Linked DNA regions of Bombyx mori. The main gene of each other region encodes a partner of the protein of the gene in region 2 in a complex. Links are inferred from orthologs where the notes say so. Each region holds a gene or a part of one and is shown on either strand. Other genes may lie near its edges.

Region 1 (3,920 bases), on a different chromosome or scaffold from region 2:
CTTGAGAATGAAAAGTATACTATTAACAGGATGGTTGTACTTATCTATGCACAAATATGTTTAATACATTACATTAAAGTCAACAATCATCTTAACTAGCTTGATTAAGTTTGTGACAAACTTTGATTTACCTTGATTAATTTAGCGTTTTTTCAAATTTATGGATGAAATTTAGTGTTACCTGAAGTGAGGATACTGCCACCACACATAAGTCCCAATAGTGGCCCCGAGCACGACAAGAAATTTCCAAATCCATATTGGAGTAAATACTGCCCAATATGACCATGTTATGGTTTTATCTAACTTCAGCGCTAATAATGCAGTAAATATTAGAAGACAAGTGTGAATGACGAATTTGCTGTAACAAACAATTGTGCAATTAACATAGAACGAAAATCACCTTCACTTTGACTCGATTAATTATGTGAGCAACATAAAAACTACCTGGGGTTAAAGTCTTGAAATAATGTCTGTAAATTCATTTCAAAACACATTCGTATAGCTTATAATAATTATAAACATTTCATAAAGAAACAAGGTTCGAAAGGTTTAAATCCTAATTTTCTTTATCCAATAACAACACTTTTGTTTTATTAAATGGAATTAATTTCAATTTTGCTTCTTGAAGTTTTGACGTTTGCAATTTGAAGCTTTTGTCAACACACATAATCAAACTAAAAGATTTTTTTTTCGTTCCCGAGACATGCAAAGAGAACAAAGCCATACATCAAACTATTTCGTAGTCCAAAGTCATAGCCATAAGACTTAATAATATATAATATACATAATATGTTCGTAACTAAAGGGCGACTAATATGGTTATTATGACTGTTTTGACGAAATGTGACTGTAAAACGAATAAAAAAAAAAAGAAAATTGAGAGTTAGAAGTCGTCGTGGCTCAAGTACAATATGGCAGAATAATGAAAGTAATTAAAACCAAAATAATAAACAAGGTGTCCTAAAATTCGACGTCTAACTGGAAAGTTTGTAGGCAGTGGCTTGGCTTTGCCCCTGGCATTGCTGACGTCCATGAGTGACGGTGACCACTTATCATCAGGTGGGCTGTATGCTCGTCTGCCTACAAAGGCAATAAAAAAAGAAAAAAAGTGAAAATGGTAAAAATTAAGATATTATAACTATATGCATATTTTAAATTCATTTCAAGGTAGAATCTACAAAATATGCCGCAAAAAAAGCTACCTAATTTTGTTGGGAAGCCATTATAGAAACTAGCAAGTGAGATAATTTTATCAATTTATTATATCATCAAGTTTGTCTTATAGGTGGAACAATTTAGTACCTAAGTCATTTCACTTTACTCAATTTCAGATAATCACACATCATACGACTTCGGCTCTAATGTGACTGTGTAAGATGTGTAAGATAAGGCTGTATGGTATGATACCTCTTTCTTTCTTGCATTATACAAACGACTTTTACTTATTCTAGCCCAATTGACATTTCGTCATGTCAGTAACCAACCATGAAATGTACCAAAATTATGCAAAACTAACGTTCAAATTCAGCCAATTTCGACTAGGTTTTGTGTAACTGATCACTGCATTTATAAATTTCATAATAATAAAAATCGGTTTTAATCTCAAAAGTAAACCTTTTGCTTATTGACGTTTTATATTATGGCGTCTCCATCTCCTAAATCACCAGAACAAAGCGAGAAGAATAAACAGTACGACCGGCAACTTCGTTTGTGGGGTGATCACGGACAAAGTGCTCTTGAAAGCGGACACATATGTTTAATTAATGCTACTGCCTTGGGTACTGAAATATTGAAATCGATAGTTCTTCCAGGAATTGGTGCAATTACTATAGTTGATGATTGCACAGTTAGTGATGAAGATATAGGCAGTAATTTCTTTTTGGAAATGTCTAGCAAAGGTCTTAACAGAGGATCCGAAGCGTTAAGGCTTGTTTTAGAATTAAATCCAGCAGTACAAGGTCATGCAGTCCAAGAACCACCTGACCAGATACTTGATGAGAACCCAGACTTTTTTAAATCATTCAGTTTAGTGATAGCTACTACAATAAGTGAAAAAGTAACGCAAAGTTTATCTCAACACCTGTGGGATATAAATGTTCCTTTTATACTTTGCCAATCAGTTGGATTCTTAGGGTCTTTAAGAATTCAGATTCGGGAACATGCTGTTACTGAAACTCATCCTGATAATGAACAAACAGATCTGCGCCTAGATGAACCATTTATGTCATTGTTAGAACATCTGGAAAGTATTGATATTGATGCTCTTGATTTGAAAGATCATGGTCACATTCCTTGGATTATAATTCTTTATAAAGCTGTTCAAAAGTGGAAAATTAACAATAACAATAAATGGCCTGTAACGCGAAATGATAAAGAAGATATAAAAAATATAATAAGGGATTTCATTAGAAAAGATGAAAATGGAATACCAATTAATGAAGAGAATTTTGAGGAAGCAATAAGAGCTGTTAACACTGCTTTGATGCCTACATTTTTGCCTAAGAATATCTCAAAACTTATGTATAATAGTGCTGCCACAAATTTAACTAAGGATAGTTCATCATTTTGGATTATGTGCTCTGCCTTAAGAGCATTTGTTGAGGCTGAAGGGAAGGGAAAACTTCCAGTGAAAGGAATCTTACCTGATATGACGGCCTCTACAGAACATTATGTAAAACTTCAAAACATTTACAAGATGCAAGCTGCAAATGATGCAGAAATAGTCTATAGAAAAGTTCGACAGATAGTCACTCAATTGCATTGTGATAGTATTAGTGAGGCAGATGTTAAACTATTCTGCAGACATGCTCATGATTTATATTTGGTGAAGGGGTCTTGTGTGGCAACAGAACTTCAACTGGGAAATTCTGTTGCATCCTATATAGCCACATATTTAGAGGAGCCAGATGTCATGATGGTTCACTATATTATGCTTCGGGCAGCTGGTATGTTTAGATCAGAGCACTGCCGAGCTCCCGGTGATTGGGAACCAGAAGGTGACATTGCTAAGCTAAAAACTTGTGTAAATAAACTTTTAGGTGATATATCTTGTTCTCCATTTCCTAAAGATGATCATATCCACGAAATGTGTCGCTATGGGGGAGCCGAGATACATAGTGTGTCTGCCTTTTTAGGTGGATGTGTTGCACATGAAGCCATTAAAATTATAACCAAGCAATATAAACCTGTAAATAATACATTTATTTATGATGGAGCTTCTACAAATACGGCAACATTTGAATTCTAAATTCTTATAGCTGCTGGATACCATTTTATTACTAGCAAATAAAACCAATAAATATTCTATTGGTTTTACTACCTATCCCAGTCCAAAAAAAATACATTTTCAAATTGGAGTACCTATGTTTTTTAAGCTTGTTGATAAGGTATAGATAAAAAAGACATCATTTAAAACTTTTTAATTGTGTTTTGAATCGATCTGTTTTATTACAGAATTTTTTAGAAATCTAAGATTCATCTTTAAACTTGAAAAAAATAACATCAATAGAGGGAAATCATAAACAAAATTAGAGACTAAAAAAATTTTTCAATTTGTGTTTTTAAATTTTCGATTGTTTTCATTATTTTTGTTACAATAGATTTTATCATTAAACAGTATTTGAGAAAAAAAATTATAATAAATTACATACAATGTATCACATGATTTTGAATTAAAATGAGAAATAAACACTACATTTGGCTAGATCCACATAGATGGCAATATGTTGCACAATAGATAAGAATATAAACAGTAGTATTTTATGTATATACTCAATACTGCATATTGCAAGTTATTTAAACACAAAATTGAGAAATCTCATCGGTTAGCTACTTATTTCACCTTAGCCACAACTTCAACCGCAATGCATCAACACCATTAAGATAATATCGAAATAGGCGTTTATCCCTTACGAAACCCA
Region 2 (4,010 bases):
GAGTAAGGCATAGTCTGGGAGTTCATTTTCTTCATTGGTTTGTCCATTGCCTCTATTGTTTGATTTGCTTTTATCTTCTTTTCCCTTTGATTTTGTATTCACTTTGTTACCAGCCATGTTACACCTAACAATTACAATTTAATGACTTTATCACAAGACATTTACAAAGGTAAGTTTGATTTGATAGCAACATAAATATGAACTGTTATAAAATACTGTAGGTACCAACAGTATATTTCGTGTGATACTGATCAGTTTTACGGAAATCACCAATGTGATATTTATTTCAATTATGCACTGAACTCACTGAATTTAAAATGATATGTTTGACAACAGATATTTTTCCTTCATCTTTATATCCGCATGGTTATATTGCAAGCAACACTCGACTTCAAAATGTTCGCAGTCTCTCCCTCAATTTTAGAGGATATTTCGCGGTTTGTGGTCACAAATCTTATTCCAATAAATATTCTAAATACTGCAGATACCGAAACCAGTGCTGAAAGGTTTCAACTTACCCTAAAAACCTCACTACCGCTAACTTGAAAATTGAAGACCTGCGACAAATTCACATCCATCACGCCTCCATTTTCAACAAATGAATGGCACCAATAGAACGTAATCAGGTTTGAATGATTCGACTATAGAATGTAAATTTTTGAACGTAGATTTATTTTTACATAGGTAATTACCTAACTAGTTTGGAGTTTTCATGAGAGAATAAAATTGATCAACATGCTTTTTTTTTAAATATTTTTGTTGATTGGTTTTGTGTCTATTTTCTTTGATTAGCTGATATTAATGTCTCTAGTTGCTCTTTGCAGACAGAGTATGCAATTTATTGGTATTCAGAATTGAGCGTATACCGCTTGAAATAACTAATTTATGGCTTTCGAAGATTGGTAATAGTTTATTTGGATGTGTATAGGTATATCCGATATAACAAGGAAGTTAACTACATACTAATTAAAACCCATTATTTTAAATGCATAAAATCGTGAATCCCGTGTGTATGTGTATTAAATTATGTTTAAAAGTATTTTAAGCCCTAATTCTGGAATCTAGTATATTTGCATTTTCTTTTACTTTATTAATAAAAGTAAAGTTTAATACCTCTATTGAATACCAACATATTACCTAACCATTTGAATTTGTTGGAGTGGACTGATCTTTTACCACAAAAACAGTGCTACCATAAGTAGACAGTACGCGTGAGCTTCGAGGTCCCTATACCCTTCTCTATTTAGTATGAGAAAAAAAGCGCTTGTCACCGGCCATCTAAATATTATATCTGCATAAATCCAAATTTGATCACGTTATTATAGTTCAGTGATTTATCTTGGAGGTAAAGAATATTAATCTATTTAAAAACTCCTTTGAGTTTGGATGTCAACATTTGGGTATTTAAAAAGTCAGTAGTAATACTTAATTCTGATTCATGATTCATTCATTACACTGTGATTTACTCGCGATAGTTATTTTCAGTGACTCGCAATAGTCGATGTGACATATGTTCATCGACTAAATTATAGGCACGATGCCTTTCGCCTTAAGTTGCGATTTATAAATGAAGGAATACTTCCGCAGTAACTTTTTCTTTATTACGTTTTAAAATTTTAATCGTTTTTTTTTATGTTTCGATATTTGACGAGAAGCTTCATGGATTAAAATCTATTTACCGGCCCAATTGGCCAAATCAATTAAATTATTAGTGTTTTCAATGAACTTTAAACCTTCAACACATGTAGCACAGATATGTATTAACTGGCGAAATACTATTACTACTATTACTTATTGTACTACATGGTATACTCTTTGGTCTATGAAAATAAGGCGATTAGGATTTATAAATATTTAACCGCAAAGTTAAAAAAATTAACAGAAAAAGTACACCTACCTACCTACTACATACATACCTCTTCTAGGTAGGTATCATACTTATTGCCATAATTATATTTATTTATTGCACTAAAACTTATTGGAAATAGAAATAGGTACGTACATAATTATAGTATTTTGAAAGAATACTAAATCATTAATTACAAATCTATATAAAAATAATAAAATGAAAGTAATAAATACATCTCTTATTGCTAATTATTGAATATTCGTTTTGATTAGCTGCATATTACTGAAGTACACACAAGTGTGGTTTAAAAGAATAATATCTCAGTTCTTTCAATGTGTATGTATTTAAATAGTGTAATGTATTTATTTTTCAGTCATAATGACTTCAGAATCTCAAACGGCTGATTATCAAAATAGGAGATGGCAACATATAAGGAAGCTGCTGGAAAGATCTGGTCCTTTCTGCCATCCAGATTTTGAAGCTTCAGCAGAAATTCTAAATTTCATCATGAACTGTTGTAAAGTTCTCATTGTTGGGGCAGGTGGTCTTGGTTGTGAATTATTGAAAGATTTAGCCTTAATGGGCTTCAAAAAGTTACATATTGTAGATATGGATACAATAGAACTATCAAATTTAAACCGGCAATTTTTGTTCAGAAGAAATGATATTGGCCTACCTAAAGCTAAATGTGCTGTGGAATTTGTCAATAAAAGGTAAAAATGTAATTGTGATGAGTAGAGTTAGTGTTTAATTGAATGTTATCAATGTACAGTAATTATTATTTACATTATTAAATAAATACATAAAGTTACACACTTGCAAATAGTAGGGGTCCCTGAAGTAATTATCTATTATCCCATTATGATAATTGTTACGTTTTCTATATGAACGTTCATCATTTTGTGAAATCTTGATAAAAAGGATGAATAATGGGGGAAGTCTATACACGATGTAGGAGGCGATGGATGTATGAATTCAAAAGTAAGGATTCCCTGACAGGAAGTAGATTTTCAACATTTTCCGAAATAAGTGGTTACATAAACTAGACTGAAGTGCATCCAAAGTAGTGAAAACAGTGTTAGTACTTTTATTCCCATGTCATAAATCTTACCTTTGATTTTAATATTCTGAAACACGTAAATTTTATTATATTGCTCTTGATAGTGTTACATTTAAATTGTTGATTGATTGATGTTGATTGTTGTTGCTTCCCGAAGCAAGGCCAGGGCGGGTCGCTAGTCTATACTAGAACTGTAATTTATTATTGATTATCAAAATAAGTTGGCAGATTTCTTTCCTACTTACTTGACACTTATCATTATATTTTTGTAATTCACACTATATCTTTATAAATTATTATAGTCAATGTCAACTATATTATTGTAAAGTTTCATCAAAATCCATCAAGTAGTTTTTCGGTGGAAGAGTAACAAACATACATTCTTACAAACTTTCCGTTTGTAATATTAGTAGGATCTGTGTTATATATTTTTATTAACATCTCCAGTAAAGCATTGATGATGGCACAAACATTATACAATATTTATCTCCTAAGCAAACCAAGTTTGTGGTTTCAATTCCTATTTGGCATTTTTGAACATGCATTTTTAAGCTAAGACAGACACCCCCAGCCACACCACACTGTGGGCACTGTGCTTCAGCTGGTTTTTTTTCCATTATTGAGACAATTTATCTGGTATTTGATATCATTTAAAATGAAATTAAATATATTTGCCAATATATTTTTTTCTTAAATTGTAATCATCATACACTTCTTCTTCTTCTTCTTCTCAGTCATGTCACTCTTGACAGAGTGGTCGTGATCGTCATGTAGTGTTACTCTTATTTTACTTAAAATGACAGTTGTTGTAATTTTTGTTGAATAAATTTTGTTGTTTTGAACTTTGGTATTTCTTTTCATTACAGAGTTCCTGGGTGTGAAGCTGTAGCTCACCACTGTGCCATTCAGGACCTTGATGAAGATTTTTATAGACAATTTCACATTGTTGTTTGTGGGCTTGACTCAATTATTGCTCGGAGATGGCTTAATGGAATGCTGGTATCCTTGTTGCAGTACAATGATGACAGTAATAGTTTATTTTCTTAAAGTTCTTGGTAGTAGCTAGTGTTTTATTTACTGGCAGAGTGTGTATCTTGAGCC

The links. Proteins that work in one complex are often made in the same cells at the same time.
Region 1: the proteins of NEDD8-activating enzyme E1 catalytic subunit (region 2) and NEDD8-activating enzyme E1 regulatory subunit are in contact, whole or in part, in a crystal structure (PDB 3DBR), measured with the Homo sapiens proteins. The link is inferred for Bombyx mori from reciprocal best matches to the Homo sapiens genes UBA3 and NAE1. Residues at the interface, in NP_003959.3 of Homo sapiens: Trp34, Glu35, Gly36, Arg37, Trp38, Asn39, His40, Lys43, Phe44, Glu46, Arg47, Ser48, Gly49, Pro50, Phe51, Thr52, Phe56, Glu83, Lys86, Asn87, Leu90, Ser91, Val106, Ser107, Leu109, Asn110, Arg111, Phe113, Leu114, Arg116; in NP_003896.1 of Homo sapiens: Glu10, Gln11, Lys12, Tyr13, Asp14, Arg15, Gln16, Leu17, Arg18, Leu19, Trp20, Asp22, Glu44, Lys47, Asn48, Leu51, Pro52, Gly67, Glu68, Ala70, Gly71, Asn72, Asn73, Phe74, Phe75, Gln77, Arg78, Ile81, Phe92, Glu95.

The regions. Positions count from the first base shown.
Region 1 is NC_085124.1:7,692,897-7,696,816, reverse strand, and holds NEDD8-activating enzyme E1 regulatory subunit, read left to right. Parts: upstream 1-1,418; 5' UTR 1,419-1,639; coding exon 1,640-3,247; 3' UTR 3,248-3,418; downstream 3,419-3,920. Other genes in the region: transmembrane protein 185B, read right to left, coding at 182-358, 445-494; N-alpha-acetyltransferase 30, read right to left, coding at 3,838-3,920. UniProt on the Homo sapiens protein: Regulatory subunit of the dimeric UBA3-NAE1 E1 enzyme. E1 activates NEDD8 by first adenylating its C-terminal glycine residue with ATP, thereafter linking this residue to the side chain of the catalytic cysteine, yielding a NEDD8-UBA3 thioester and free AMP.
Region 2 is NC_085115.1:7,048,253-7,052,262, forward strand, and holds the start of NEDD8-activating enzyme E1 catalytic subunit, read left to right. Parts: upstream 1-1,201; 5' UTR 1,202-1,345; intron 1,346-1,432; exon of another isoform or gene 1,433-1,994; intron 1,995-2,222; 5' UTR 2,223-2,227; coding exon 2,228-2,562; intron 2,563-3,775; coding exon 3,776-3,936; intron 3,937-4,010. Other genes in the region: uncharacterized protein LOC101738796, read right to left, coding at 1-117. UniProt on the Homo sapiens protein: Catalytic subunit of the dimeric UBA3-NAE1 E1 enzyme. E1 activates NEDD8 by first adenylating its C-terminal glycine residue with ATP, thereafter linking this residue to the side chain of the catalytic cysteine, yielding a NEDD8-UBA3 thioester and free AMP.